2 linked regions of the Nothobranchius furzeri genome follow. The protein of the gene in region 2 interacts with the protein of the main gene of each other region in a pairwise test. Links are inferred from orthologs where the notes say so. Each region holds a gene or a part of one and is shown on either strand. Other genes may lie near its edges.

What was found.
Region 1: the proteins of zfyve27 (region 2) and fkbp8 interact in binary tests that used the Homo sapiens proteins (3 or more experiments, as listed by UniProt). The link is inferred for Nothobranchius furzeri from reciprocal best matches to the Homo sapiens genes ZFYVE27 and FKBP8.

Annotation. Positions count from the first base shown.
Region 1 is NC_091748.1:52,419,633-52,426,839, reverse strand, and holds the end of fkbp8 (peptidyl-prolyl cis-trans isomerase FKBP8), read left to right. Parts: intron 1-3,590; coding exon of another isoform or gene 3,591-3,674; exon of another isoform or gene 3,675-3,835; intron 3,836-4,239; coding exon 4,240-4,374; intron 4,375-4,504; coding exon 4,505-4,591; 3' UTR 4,592-4,860; downstream 4,861-7,207. UniProt on the Homo sapiens protein: Constitutively inactive PPiase, which becomes active when bound to calmodulin and calcium. Seems to act as a chaperone for BCL2, targets it to the mitochondria and modulates its phosphorylation state.
Region 2 is NC_091746.1:82,341,591-82,350,563, reverse strand, and holds the start of zfyve27 (protrudin), read right to left. Parts: upstream 5,300-8,973; 5' UTR 5,071-5,299; intron 3,701-5,070; 5' UTR 3,699-3,700; coding exon 3,463-3,698; intron 3,367-3,462; coding exon 3,296-3,366; intron 3,193-3,295; coding exon 3,006-3,192; intron 1,041-3,005; coding exon 945-1,040; intron 736-944; coding exon 623-735; intron 538-622; coding exon 419-537; intron 159-418; coding exon 87-158; intron 1-86. Other genes in the region: si:ch211-284e13.5 (neurotrophin receptor-interacting factor homolog), read right to left, coding at 6,550-7,127, 7,292-7,582. UniProt on the Homo sapiens protein: Key regulator of RAB11-dependent vesicular trafficking during neurite extension through polarized membrane transport. Promotes axonal elongation and contributes to the establishment of neuronal cell polarity.

The sequences.
Region 1 (7,207 bases), on a different chromosome or scaffold from region 2:
TTGCTGACGCGAAATTCTGATCCTACTTTCCGATAGGGATGTACCGATGAAACGGCATTTGATCCCAATCGGCCGATAGCGCCCCTATCGGTTTTGATCGGACTTTTCAAAATAGATCAAAGCAGACCGCTCAGGTAGGGTTGTCACGGTAACCAGTGTAAACCCCGGTAGAAAAAGTTGACAATAATAATAACCGTCTTGTTTTAAAAAAAACTATATTATCTCGGTGGGTTACCGTGGCTGCGGTGTAGGCGCGGTGACCCTTACCAGCCACCGTATCATCTGCTGAAGTTGCAGGACCGGCGGCACATGCGCACTTTGTTGTTTACGACCAAAACTTTCTTGAAGCTAAAGCTGAAATAATGGCCTAAGGAGGAGACGGCAGCGCTCAGGAGGACATTTATTATCCCCCAAAGAAGACAAAGTCGGAAGTACGGGCATTTTTGGATATTTGAATGCCGAAGGAGTTTATAGAAGATGGACGGCTATCCTGTTTGCAGTACGTGCAGAAAAATTGTCTGTGAAAGGCAGCAACGCTTCAAATGTCATGACACATCTGCGTGACCATCACCCTCAACGCAAGGCAAGCTAACGTTAGCATTTTAGCTAAAATGCGTGATCCGAGGATTTGGGGTTGAGGGAGAACGCAACGAGTCGCTATATAAAGCAGCCGCAGCGCCGCTACCTGCATATAAACCGTGTCGCGGACACCCCCATGTTGAAACGACGCTATGCATTACGGGGCTCCCAGGGGCAGATAAGAGTTGGTCTCTCTCCGAGAATAATTATGAATTTAACAACGATTACTGCCTGATGACATTTTCCCACATCTGCAAAGCTCACTGGAAGGACACAAACCGAGGACAATAATTTCCTGATATACGGATTACTCAAGTAAGGGTAAAAAAGTATCTGATTAGAAGGCTACTTGAGTACTGCGTATCATCTGATCTAATATTTTTAAAATGATGACATCAAACAGACATAAAATAAGAAGTTATGGGCAAATATTGGTATTTTAAAGACTAAAGGGAAAAAATGTAAACAAATAAACAACATAATTACAAAATAACACATTTTAGGCTAAATTTAGACACAAACTGAAGACAATATTTCCTGACATACAGGGTTTATTGCATTGTGTGAAAATGTAGCACGTTTAAAAAAAATACCGCGATAATACCGAAAACCGTGGTAATTTTGGTCACAATAACCGTGAGGTTAAATTTTCACACTGTGACAACCCTAATACAGACCATTTTAGATTAGGTTGCATTTCCTTTATTCCCAGATTATGTAGTTTGTAGCACTCATTATAATGTTGTAGAAAATTTTTGGCCAATCCACGTGATCGGTATCGGTGATCGGTATCGGTGATCAGCATTCTTTGATATCGGTATCGGTGATCGGCAGCAAAAAACCTGATCGGTGCATCCCTACTTTCCCACTGTTGTGGCAGAAATCGAGACTCATCAAACCAGGCAACAATTTCTCAATCTTCTATTGTCCAGCTTTGGTGAGCCTGAGTGAATTGGAGCCTCGGGTTCCTGTTCTTAGCTGACAGGAGTGGCTCCTGGTGTGGTCTTCAGCTGCTGTAGTCCATCTGCCTCAAGGTTCAATGTGTTGCGCGTTCAGAGATGCTCTTCTGCATACCGTGGTTGTAAGGAGTGGTTGTTTGAGTTACGGTTGCCTTTCTATCAGCTCAAACCAGTCAGGCTTTTCTCCTCTGACCTCTGTCATCAACAAGGTATTTTCGCCCACAGAACTGCAGCTCAATGGATGTTTTCCCTTTTACAGACCATTCTCTGTAAACCCTAGAGATGGTTGTGTGTGACAATCCCAGAAGATCAGCAGTTTCTGAAATACTCAGACCAGCCCGTCTGGCACCAACAACCATGCTGTGTTCAAAGTAACTTAAATCCCCTTTCTTCCACAGTCTGAAGTTGGAACTGCGGCGGATTGTCTTGACCATGTCAACATGCCTTAATGCACTGAGTTGCCACCGTGTGATTGGCTGATTAGTAATTTGCATTAAGGAACAGTTGGACAGGTGTACCCAATAGTGTGATGTGACTAGCGAGTGTACATTGTTTAGTCTTGCTGAACAGATTGTCCCATTCTGACCAGTAGGTGGGGCCATTGGGTAAAGATGAATTCATTTGCAGCAAGTTCTGCTGATTCATCATTTCAGAGGATCTGTTTTCATGCTGCTGCTGTAAATAGGTCTGCCCTGCACCCTAGTCGTATCTAATGCCTAGTCACTGTTTCTGTTCAGATGAGTATATATGGTGCTTTGGCTATACAAGGTCACTCGCTGGAGCATGTTCCACTGTATGGGCTTATTGGATCAGCTGCAGCAGCCTGGTACTTATGCCCAGTACTCCCTACTTCAGTCCTACACCAATCTGTCAAACAGCACACAACCTGTTCACCGCTTTTCAGCCATCGCATGCAGTGTAGTATCATGTGCTACTTTATAAGACCATTTGTAATGATGTCTGATAAATGAAGTGCTTAATTTATTAACCAGTACATTTCTAGTTGTGGTTTTGATCTAAAGATTTGGAAGAGAATAGCTGCAGGAAAAAGTTCTTCAACTTGGAGCAGAAAATAAAATCCAACATCCCCTTTTTTTAGATTACAGATTATCTGGTTTGAGTCGAAGGGGAAGCTGACACTTCTCATCATCCCTTCTCATTGGCTAACTTCCTGTGTTGCTATCAAAGTCTTGAGCCATTTCAAAGACATATTGGCCAATTTATAGTTTGTGTCTTTGTTATAGTAGTGTATTTTGCCTGAGATACCGGCCTTACAGGTTAATGATGAATTACTGACATCTTAAATCAGCGCCACCTTCAAAATTTAATATTGATTAATGAAAATTAGGTTATTTTATATGTCTGCTTTGCATTAAATAATTATGTGAGCAGCACTAATAGGATATATTGTTCAAACTTGTCCCTTGGAGACACCAGAGGTGCTGTCTTAAGGCTGCTGCGGATAATTATGTTTATATAGAGTTACAGAAGTCTACGTAAACAACATGAGAAATGGTGGTGTAAAAGGTTTTTTTAAGTAATGCTGCATGAATTGCTGTGAAATTTGGAAGATTAATTTTATTTGAAGTTATTTGCAGCAGGTAAGATAGTAATTTCTAATAACTTAAGGTATGACACTTTTTATTAATTCCTGTACAAAGTTTGGGGTTGAGTTTAAAGCGCTGCTCTATGGTGCCTTAAAATAAATGTGTGTGTTTTTGTTCCAATAAAGATGCTCTTTTTCTAACCAATTAGCTTGGCTTTGACAGACACAGAAAATGACAAGATGACACATTATATCTCTCTCCTCCAAGCAGGGGCTGATACCTCTGTCTTCAGCTCAAATGAGCCAGAAAAGATTTATTTATCTGGCTTGTTTAACTTTTTTCTTAAACGACATGCAGACTTGACATTTCCAGTTTAAACTGCCTTTGACTTTCTCTGCAGAGTAAGACAAACGAGTTCTGGTAGGATCGTGATGCTAAATGTTTGTTTCTCCTCTCCCCCTATAGGTTGTAATGTTTTTGTCTTTCTGTCTTGTTGCTTCCACAGAAACACTCTTGTAAAGGTAAATGCACCACTTTGGTGCATATTAACATCAGGGCGAAGACTCCACTGCTCACAGATGCATGTTAGTAGATTTTACTCCAAACGTCACTTTAGTTTCAGGTGACTGTTTCTGTTGAACTTTGAGCAACGGTCCTCAGTCCTACCGAAGTGCTCTTAGCAAGTTTAAACATTTTATCTGTTATAATATTGATTTGCTTAGTCACTCACCCGCTTTAAGAGCAGCGAAGTGACTCACAGCTGAGTCTGTGCTGGAACAATAATTGAGCCCAGATCCTGGAATCATTGTGTGGACATGTGGGCTAAACAGCACGCTGATTTTGTGGTCCAAGCCTGTGATTTCTCGGAAGATGGCAAAGAGTGGAATCAAGAATTTTCCGGTATATAAACATTTTAGATTTTCTGATGCAGCTTCTCTGAACCCCAATCATTAATTTATTCATCTAGCAAATGCCATGACTTTGTGTTTTGCAGACCACTTGTGTCTGTTACTGTAAAGAGCGTTCTGACTTGTTATTGGTCTGTCTGTTGCAAAGCTGCACGACGCAGTCTCCTGCAGATCAGGATAACAGCACTGATAGACACAGGGCTTTTATGGTTATTTCCTGCATCCTTTCTCTTGTTTCATGCACAGACAATTCACGCTGAGCTCTCCAAGCTGGTGAAGAAGCACTCAGAGCAGCGGGGAGCAGAACAGGCCATGTATAAGAAGATGCTGGGCAACCCTTCTAGTAGCAGCGTACGGAAACATCAGGCCAAGTCTTCATGGGTGAGAGAGTAATCATCTCAGAAACTCCATGTGTTAAAATGTTTGTTCCAAAGTGAGGCTTTGAAAAACAGCGTATAATTTGTGCCAATGTTATTAACCTGCTCAACATGCTGCTTTTTGTCCTCTGCAGGGTCTCAGCTGGAAGTGGCTTTTTGGTGCCACAGCTGTAGCCCTTGGTGGCGTAGCTCTATCTGTTGTCATAGCTGCCAGGAATTGAAATGAGCCTGATCAAATGCAGCAAAAGAGCCAAAAACACTGAAACACGTCTGACTACACCTTCTGACTGTTGGTCAATGGTGGAAATGTGAGATGGTCGATTACCTCTTCGCTGTCTCCGTCTTTTCTCTACTATGTTTGAGAAGTTACAAGTAATAAGTTGTAATAATAGTGTATAGAGAAACATATTTCCAGTCTTGTAAATGTGTAGGTCTGTGCACATACATGTCGCCAGACTTTATTTTCATTTGTTCCGATTATTTTTGTCTCTGGCAAGCAAAGTTGGAAATTGATTGTTCCAGGAATCGGAAGTGATTCAAACAAAAGTAATGTAAATTATATTTAACATAAATGATTCACTAGTTTTAGTATGTCTCCAAAAGCATTTGATTTTGTTTATAAAATAATATTTATTACCCAAGAGATGGAATTTTAATTCATGGAACATGTTTCTCATTTACATGCTTTCTACTATAAGATCCACAGGCGGACAGAATATCACACACACACACCACACACACACACACACACACACACACACACTGACCCTTATGATACCCATAAGGATTTCTACTCATTTTAATCATCCATAAACTACACCATTAAAGTCACAGAACCATAGCAATGCAATGCAACAATCCAACATTTACTGCCTTAAAGTTTCAGCTTTTCTCCACACCAGACGATTGGGATGGTATTACACTCAACAGGTTTTGTAAAAACGTGTCTAACATTAGCTGCATGAAAGAGAATAAACAAATCTCCTCACACATCAACTATAGTTTTATTTGCTAACAGAATTAAATCAACACTTCTTTGATACATTCAGTGCAGGCAAACCTACAGCTGTGGAGTTTAAACACATTTAATTAGCCACATATACATAATAAATACAGACACTGTTGGGTTATTTAGGACTGGGAAAGGTGTCTGATTTCATTAAATTGTACTTTTAATATTTGTGTTAAAAGACCAAATGTTCAGAAGACCCTATGTTTGCATGGGAAGTTGTTCTAAAGTTGTTCTGCATTTCTTTTTCTCATTCCAAAAAATAAATGTGACTGTACCAAATGTGTGGCTTCCTCAGGCTAGATGATAGAGCATTAGAGCCAAAAGTTGTGTAATCTATAATTATTTGAGCAAAGTTCCTGACATTCTACTGCACTCTGCCTCCTGACATGGGTCAAATGTCTCATACCTGTAGAAATTATTCACATAACTCACTGATCATAACTGCACTACTGTATAATTCTATGTAAATGACCATTCTGTACAATTGCTAAAGCACTTCTGGATGGATGCAAACTGCATTTTGTTGCCTTGTACCTGTGACATGTGCAATGACTTCCATCCATCCATTGTCTGAACCTGCTTGTCCACTTAGGATCGCGGGGGGGGGGGGGGGGGGGGGGGGGGGCTGGTGCCTATCTCCAGCGGTCAATGGGCAATCAGGCGGGGTACACCCTGGACAGAGAGCCAGTCCATCGCAGGGCAACACAGAGACACACAGGACAAACAATCACACACTCACACCTAAGGACAATTTAGACAGACCAATTAACCTAACAGTCATGTTTTTGGACTGTGGGAGGAAGTCGGAGTACCCGGAGAGAACCCACGCATGCACAGGGAGAACATGCAAACTCCATGCAGAAAGATCCCAGGCCGGGAAGCGAACCCAGGACCTTCTTGCTGCAAGGCAACAGCTCTAACCACTGCACAGCCCATGTGCAATGACAATAAAGTTGAATTCTATTCTATTTGTTCATTTTGATGTATCTCAAATAAATGTCCTATCAAACTACTATCATTTGTCATTTACACTCATTTTACAAACAAATTAAATATGTTTTTGTCTGGTTAACCATGATTTGCTGCATTTATGCCTTTAAAAATATGAGTACATTAAGTCATGTTTGTTCTTGCAAAAGGATCAGCGACTGAAATTTCAAACTGGTCACTGGGTAATTTGCTTTACTCTGTTTACACAGACCTTCCAAAGTTGTCTAGATATCTGCTGCGTGTAAACACTTTGTTTTTGTTTTCTCTGTTTACAGGGTTGGATGTTTTACTGTAAAACTGTTGGCCTTTTTCCTCTTCCTTTTTATCAATAATTAGCTATTTCTGAATTCATGAAGGAGCTCATTGCCCTTTTAGTGTGCAGCATACACAATAATAGGCACTTCATAAATGGAAGAGTAAATATTTATTTCACTACCTGACAAAATCAATATTGGCAACACAACTAATAACAGTAGATTTACTTGTACATTTGAATGCTAAGATTAATATATCTAGCAGATCTCTGTACATTAAGCAAACTACTAATGGAGTCAGTGAGGTTCCTCAAGGATTGGTCCCTAAATCACCTCAGAGTCAAATACCAATTTGTATTGATACTCTGATGTACTTTTGCATCCATGTCTTATCGGGCTCTGATTCTACTGCAACAATATTATATTAATACTGAATGCACTTTGCTTATTGCAAACTTCTTTTCGATGCTAAAAAGACATGCTTTTGTTATCCAAAGTTTCTGAGGCAGATTTTTTAATACTGAATTTAGATTCTTTGTCTTTTAATTGAACCCATTGCAGCAGGTGGGTAAAAATGATCA
Region 2 (8,973 bases):
ATTAGAATAAACAGTCTGAAGTTTAGATTGAGAGGGCAAAACTGGGATGAAGAATATTAAAGGGCATTATTAAAATGTGCTTTTACCTCAATGGCGTCCTTAAACTCATCATCAGGTTCAGCCTCCTCTGCTTCTTCTACACTTCCAGGGGAAAGGTCCTGTTTCAAACACAAACCCATGCGGTTAGCAGTTGTTATGAATCTAGCATAGACTGATCTGAGCCCTTGTCCGTCCCTCGCACGGGGGAACGCAAACTTAACGAGGGAAGTGGTTCCATCTGTGCGGTTAAACCATGTAAAGGCCATGAGATTTGGGATAACTGGGTAAGAAGCTTACATCTGTGGAGGGGTTTAATGTAAACCACAACAGCTGAATGTTCAAGTACCAACAATCACATTCACTTGCTCATTTCTCTCACCTCTAGACTAGGGGGGGTTGGCGTCCTGTCCATCAGGCTGCCCTGAGCCTGGTCTTCAGGCAGCCCCTCTGAGGTCTGAGTCGGACCAAAGTAAAAGAGCTTCCGAAGGTCCAGAAGAACTGGGAAATCAGAGTGAAAACAGCAAATAAAACATTGCAATAATATTACTAGAAATGAGTGTTTCTTTTGTTTAAAGGAGCTAACCTCTGCAGAAGTCTCGGTTCCACAGGAAGACGACGGTGTTGAGCCCAGCAAGCACCCAGCCCACAGGAACAACATAAAGCAGACACACCACTGTTAGCGTCGCTCCATAAAACCTGCAGGACAAAAATGAGGATCGTGGTTTAGCCGCGGCATTCACGACGAGGAATTTAACAGAAATAATGCAAATTTACCTCACATTTGACACTTCAACAATAATTTCATAAAAAGATAATAACACACACATTTGTTTCTGTGTGTGTGTGTGTGTGTGTGTGTGTGTGTGTGTGTGTGTGTGTGTGTGTGTGTGTGTGTGCATACAGACCTTGAAGAACTGGTGTGACTATCCCAGTATAAAACCTTGTAAATGGCTTCCGCTGATTGGCAAGCAGAGGACAACATGTCATCCAGGTGCTTCAACCTGTTGGAAACACACAATCACACACACATTCAGTAAAAACAAATAAATGAAATATCAACAATGCCTGATACATTTCCACCAACAAATGTGATTTTCATAGGCCATATTTACTGTATTTACTGAGGAAATTAAACCAGGAGAATGCACAAATTCACAAAGTCCATTTGACTGGATATAATATAATATAATATAATATAATATAATATAATATAATATAATATAATATAATATAATATAATAGTCTTCCTCCGCTTATCCGGGTCCGGGTCGCGGGGGCAGCATCCCAACTAGGGAGCTCCAGACCGTCCTCTCCCCGGCCTTGTCCACCAGCTCCTCCGGCAGGACCCCAAGGCGTTCCCGGACCAGATTGGAGATGTAACCTCTCCAACGTGTCCTGGGTCGACCCAGGGACCTCCTGCCGGCAGGACATGCCTGAAACACCTCCCCAGGGAGGCGTCCAGGAGGCATCCTGACCAGATGCCCAAACCACCTCAAGTGACTCCTTTCAATCTGGAGGAGCAGCGGTTCTACTCCGAGTCCCTCCCGAATGTCCGAGCTCCTCACCCTATCTCTAATGGGCCATTCCCATCTGTACCGGGTCGGCCCGGGCCGGGTAGCGTAGGTTGTTTACATATCTGGGTGGCCTGGTATTTTTCCGGGCCAACCAAGGCTCATTCTCAGCCCTCTTCTCGAGGGGGTCTGCTTCAGGCCGACCAGGGCCAACACACCCACTGCTGACAGCAAATTCACACCTTCCATTAGAGCAAGCCTCTGATTGGTGGGTAGAATCAGCCCACATGGGCTTAAGGCAAGGATGTGTGGAACCAACCGGGCCAGGCTGGGGCCGACTGGGGCTACCCGGCCCGGGCCGACCCGGTACAGATGGGAATGGCCCATAAGGCTGAGCCCGGCCACCCTACGGAGGAAACTCATTTCGGCCGCTTGTATCCGCGATCTCGTTCTTTCGGTCATTACCCAAAGCTCATGACCATAGGTGAGGATTGGGACGTAGATCGACCGGTAAATCGAGAGCCTGGCTTTCTGGCTCAGCTCCCTCTTCACCACGACAGATCGGCTCAGCGTCCGCATCACTGCAGACGCCAAACCAATCCGCCTGTCGATCTGCCGATCCCTCCTACCCTCACTCGTGAACAAGACCCCGAGATATTTAAACTCCTCTACTTGAGGTAGGACCTCTCCCCCGACCCGGAGTTGGCAAGCAACCCTCTTCCGGTCGAGAACCATAGTCTCAGATTTGGAGGTACTGATCCTCGTCCCAGCCACTTCACACTCGGCCACGAACCTACCCAGCAAGAGCTGAAGGTCAGAGCTGGATGAAGCTAGGAGGACCACATCATCCGCAAAAAGCAGAGACGAGATTCTCCTGCCACCAAACTCGACACACTCCACACCACGGCTGCACCTAGAAATTCTGTCCATAAAGGTAATGAACAGAACCGGTGACAAAGGGCAGCCCTGGCGGAGTCCAACCCTCACCGGGAACAGGTCCGACTTACTACCGGCTATGCGATGCCCCCTCCATCACCCTTGCAAGGGTATAGAGCTGGTCCACAGTTCCACGGCCAGGACGAAAACCACATTGCTCCTCCTCAATCTGAGATTCAACTATCGATCGGACCCTCCTCTCCAGTACCTTGGAGTAGACCTTTCCAGGGAGGCTGAGGAGTGTGAACCCCCCATAGTTCAAACACACCCCCCGGTCACCATTCTTAAAGATGGGGACCACCACCCCGGTCTGCCACTCCACAGGAACTGCCCCCGATGACCACGCAATGTTGCAGAGACGCGTCAACCACGACAGTCCTACCACATCCATAGCCTTAAGATACCCAGGATAATATAATAGCTGCTAATTGCTGTAAATATTTGTTTTAAAAAAAGAGAGAGAAAGCAGAACAGGACACACACTTGAGCTAAAATAATTAGCTGCAGCATGCATCTTACAGGTCTTTGACTTCCAGCATGGCCTCCTGTTTGGTGAGGTGAACCGTCTGCAGGTCTTTGCGATGCACAGCGTGGTAACGCCTCTTCTGGAGATCCGCTTCAGAGGCTTTGCCCCCACACCTGTCCTGCAGGTAACCCAGGGCAGCCGGCGCCGATACAACCACCACACTCCCTGTGAACCAACCAACTGATACCAGAGGCAGATACAACGACTTAATGGATCAATAAAAAATATTTGGTGACATCACAATACCACTGGTTTAATATCTATGCTAAATGAATCACCCTACCTTCAGTAATTGTGCAAAAGAAGATGTTGAGGAATATACAAACGAGCAGAGAGCACAGTGGCATCTTCCATCTGTTTGACAAAACGTAAGATAGATTGAATTCTGACATTTACTACTAATGGTCAAAACAACCATATGATAATGTGTTTACACACACCCATACACACCCGAGTAACAGGTGAATGACCTCTACTGCGTCTACAATGGGTTCTAGATACAGAGCCATTCTCTTGTAGGATGTCACCATGTTCAGGAGGTCAAAGTTCAGAGTACAGCGGGGGCTCCCCAACTCAGAGGCATCTGGAGATCCAGGAGTCTCCTTAGATAACGAGTGCACCAGCTCCCCGCGTTCCTCTGAACTCTGCAGGGAGTCTTGAAACGTTCCAGTGTTTTGAGTCGCCATCTCTGGACAGAGTGAGGAAGATTTAATTATGTTGCAGACCTGATCTTCCATTCAGCTCAATTTATAGACAATATAGAATGTGTCAAACATTAATCATTGGTGAAACATGTAATGTTCCAACAGAATTCATGTTTACTTGGAAGAATTAAAGGTTCCAGATCATGCTTTTTAAATATTTGAAAGCAAAAGTTAGGCACAGTATATAATAAAATATTACTGTTGGCACTACTGAGGTGTCATTTATCTTAAATACAAGTTATTTTTGTCAGCGTGAATTTATACCTGGAAATAAAACGCTTTGTTTCAGTGAAACTCCGCCCACGCAGTTTTGCCATGTGCTGACATGGGTTCAAATCCCAGTGTGCAGTAATGTATTTAGCCAGCTGAACCAGATTTCAAGTTTTTATATTTTATTGATTATTTCCAGCAAAATATTTTGTGTCTCTAACATCTTCGAATTTGGTCATTTCGAAGCAGCATTTAAGTTGATCTACTCTACTCACTTCACATGGCTTCACACTGGCTAAATGAACAAAGAAAGTATAAAAAATAAAAAAAAACATATTAGTCCTTACTTTTAAAACTGTTTACCAATAAAGGGTTGAAAACAGAATAATGTCAAGTGTAGCCAAAAAAGAAGAAAAAATGTACTCTGCTCCTTCTGCAGCAGCTCTCTATTATACATGAGGTGGTTTTCTAATTTCCCTGTTTGTGACATCACAAATGGTAACTTTTTCAAGCGAGTCATTTTAGACATTTTGTATATTTCTCTGTTTTTCTTCTGAATGCATTTTTAAGTTATTTTTCTTTGAGTAATTCTAGGCTCATAATTCTTAAAATTCCACTGTCAGAAAACAGATAGACAATTTTAGAGTTTATATAAGCAGTAGAGACCCACGTGGCAGCACAAAAGGATGTAAAAGATGAGTTCTACATATTATCTTGCTTTACAGTTAATTTTGTATTATTTGCATTCAAAATGAGGCAATTTTCAAGGTTCAAACAAAAGGTAAAGCAAGACATACTACACAAAATAACTTGTGTTCAGACCAATATAAATCCAAGTGTACTGTGAATATCTAAGAGCCATGACCTTTATGACAGTCTTTATTGGTTTAACAAAACTTATTTAGATGACCGAATTATTAGAGCTGGCTCCCAACATACATGTTTAAACTGAGGTGATCAGTCCTGATGTAATGAACAGTCAGAAGGAATTCCTCGTCACTCCTGCTAGTCGCAGTTTTGGCCTGAGAAACGTCAAACTGAATAAACTAATTTAAACAATAAACTCTGCTAAGCGTTATCGCGGTAAATTAAAGAACATTTGATCCAAAAATAACTTATCCACTGGGTGAGGGAGATAACTTACTCTGAGGAGGAAACGTCCAACAACAGCAAAGTTGAGTTAGCAGCAGCGGAGGTGCTGAGAGGAGCTCAGGCAAAACTAGCGAGTCCCTCCGACATCATGAGACCGGAGGAAGGAAGAGCCTCCAAACTCAACCCGCTCGGACAACATGACTGCGGACTTTCTGTCAGCAGTTCACGAAGCGTTTCGAGCAGCTCCGGTGAGGAAAAAACAGGTACCCGTAGAGAAAACCACGGGACAAAGCAGCTGTTTGTTTTGTTTTTTGGATCAAGCTAATCTTTGTTAGCTCTGTGCTCTTGGGGACGCTCACTTCCTACTCAAATCCAGGACAACTAGCTGATGGCAGATAAAGACGAAGCCGTTCAAAGCTGTGGTTCAGTCGATCCCAGACCAGGTTTATCGATTGCCGCACAAAACAAAAACTGATCCAATTGTTTTAGATCATGTAATATTAATGAAGCGTATTGTGTTGATCAAAAACGTAAAAACAATTTAAAAAATCGAATGCTTTATTAACAACCTCGAGGAAGTTGAAGAAAAGTTGATAACATGAACAATCTGTAAAATAAGGCAGAATACATTTCAGATGTATCTATCACACAGTTGCTGACAGATTAAAAAGGAGATTTGAACCTGTGGCCAGGTGCTTGAAACAATACAATCTTTTATTAGGTCACACAAACATCTTATTTATTAAAGGCATCTTTAAACACTTGAATGCAACCATGTGCTTTTTCATTTTCTGAAGTGAAAGCTGACTTTTTTTGTTATATTATGTTTCCTTCTAAATCAAGTGACCTGAAATGTTCTCTTTTTGCAATTTCCTTCCACATCAATGTGCAGCATTCCACTCAGTGATGTCATGATTAAATACATCCTCTAAGTAAAACAAATTTGACAGAAATCTTGTTTGGCAAGAAAAAATCTGCTTATTTAGTGACTTTATTTCAAATAAATCAAACAAACAAATAGCACGTTGAATGAAGGGCAAAGGCGCAGCAAAGATTAAATTTTTATTTTGAGCCTTCATGAATACTGGGCAACAATTATCACTTCAGAAAACAAACCCACAACTGCAATTCTAAATTGATTCAAAATCATCCATTTACACACTTAATAAATACCAAAACATTGTTTCATTAATAAATTAGTTAAGTTAGTGATGTGACGTTCACGAACAAGTGGAGTCTTTTGAACGTGCTTTCAAAGAGAACGATGAGAGCCAAGTCCTAGTAGAGAACCGTTCCTCCTGTCGTCCAGTAACCCCCACCCCGATGATGTCACAGACCTCAGCGGAACACTAACCCCCCACCCCGAACATCAGCAGACTGTTTTTTCTACCAAAAGATAATGCAGGAGATATGCGTAGGACACCATTTTCACATTCAGCCTGCATGGAAACTCAGTGACTGTTCATTTTCAAAAATAATAAGTAAAAAATTGTTTCTCAGTGAAGAACCTCTTTAATATATTAAACAAGGACTATGATAAATGCTTGTTATGAGAACGCTGGTGGAATTTGAGCCCACCACAGTTTCTGAAACACTTCCCACACTGTCCGCAGACATAAGGCATCTCTCCCGTGTGGATGCGGAAGTGTCGGGTTAATGCTCCAGAGTGGCGGAAACACTTGGAGCAGACAGAGCATGTGTAAGGTCTCTCCCCCGTGTGGATCCGAAGGTGGGTCTTTAGATTCTCCTGACGGTTGAACTCTCGATTGCACACTGTGCATCGGAAGGGACTGCAGCCTGGTGGGTAGAGCTGCAGCCGAGTCCTGGTGCTTCCTGCTACGGGCTGCGGACAGCGCTGCTGGAGCCTCTGGCGGCACTGGCCGTAGTGGCGCCGCAGGTGACTGGGCAGGTGGAAGGTTTGACTGCAGAACTTACAAGTGTGAATGGCAGCACCGCTCCGGCCATTTTGAACATGGACTCCGACTACGTGTGGAGGAGCTAGGGATTCTGCGGCTGGTTCTGCTAGATGAAAGATGCTTGGAAACTCTGAGGAGCTGGACTGGAGGTCTGGTGGCGGTGGGAGGGCGGTGATCAAATTTGGAGGAGCTGCTGAAAAATTCCAAAGACTTTAAACTGCAGAAATCCTCATAAAAACACAGTTGATGAGTCTTGCAAAAATCTAACTAAGTAAACTAACTTCTGCTTTCTTGTAAATAACATTGTAACATAAGATGCCAAACAATAAAAAAAATTATTGTAATTTATTTTCTTACCCTGATCCAGCTTGTTGCTGAACATCTGGGCATTTGGCTCAATACTCTCCACATCCAGGACTTCTGGTGGCCACTTTATTCCTTCCAGACCTAAATCCTCCTCTTTAATCAGGTCAAAGCAGTAAGGTGCACCATTCGGTTCCTCCTCGGACTTCTCCTGTTTGATGATCATTTGTTCTAAGGTGGACGTGCCTTCTCTGTGGGGAGGCCGTGCTGATTCTGGAGCTTGTGGGTCCAGACACACCGGGATCACGCTTTCCATCTTCACAGCACCGACATGGGAGGAAACATCTGGGAATGCAAAAATAAATAAACATGCTTTGAACATATAAACAGTTTTTGCTTCAATGTTTCAGGTCTGCAAATAAATATTAACTGAAAATAACCAAAACACGTTTTACAAATGATTATTTAATACATTTTGGTCCCATGTGAAAACACACGAGTCTCTCTAGTATTATTTAGAAATGTTAGTTCTGTTTTATGAGCAACACCCTGACCTGATTACTGCCAGTCTTTTAGAAATCACTTCAATAAAATCTCATAAACTAGGCTAAAAGATCTCAAAAGGCAACACATCATTCCCCAATCTAAAGAAATGCAGGAACAAAATAACTCAGAACATCTAAAGCACTGTAGGCCTCACTTGGGTATGGTTAAGGTCAAAGGACATCAAACCATTTGTCAAACATGGCAGTGGGAGTGTGATGATCTGGAGCTGCTTTACGACCTGAACCACTTCCTGCGACTGATGGAACCATGAATCCTGGGCCGTTTCTGTGCACTCACATCCTTGTGAAACGTCATCAACGTTGGCCCAAGTACTGTTCCAATCCTAAGTACGCATCATGGCAAGTTCACTCAAAGTTCCCAGATGTGTTCTTGCTCTGCCCATTGTATTGCATCAATGCATTCTTCTGCAAACTCGGGACAGCAATGTGTCCCACAATGCATTGTGTCACAAACCGTTGTACTCTGAACGTCAGGAGAAAGCTGGTGTCTGTAGATTTATGTCAGAAATACTAATAAAGGAACATTAAGTGGTTTGTTATTGTAAATAAGTGTGTGTAACCTGTAAAATGTGCTGTGTGTTTGAATTTTACTCTCCACAATACCTCAAATACTAATTAGCTAACCCACTAACAAAATAAAAGCAGCGTAGCTCTGATTTGATGAAAAATAAACTTTTATTCATTTAACAGCGGGAAGTGGTATTTTATCAGTTTTAATCAAAAGTGGACCAAATATAATACAAACAATATGTTTTCACTGTTCTTTTGTTATTTAAGGAACAAACTAGACTTTTATTTTTATGGCAGGTCATTTGTCTAACGGTAGCAACAAGCAACCCTTGTTGCCATAAAGCAACAGAGGCCAGTTCTGGTCCAAATGTCATTCTCATCCTCCCATACTCGGTAGAACGGACTTTCTGGTGTCCTGGCCAAGAACATACTCACACAAGAACGTAACGGCGTCCTTGAGTACTGAGAAACAGCCCTGCTCTCTTCCAGAAACTCCAGAAGAATGTCTGACCTTTGACCTTAAACAGGTCAAACTCCACAGAGATGAGGCTTGTTACCAATTATTACAAACACTTGATTTAAAAGACGTTTGTGTTCAGATTTTTACTAATGAGGCCTACTTGTGAGTGGTACAAATATAAAAACACGAAATATATACAT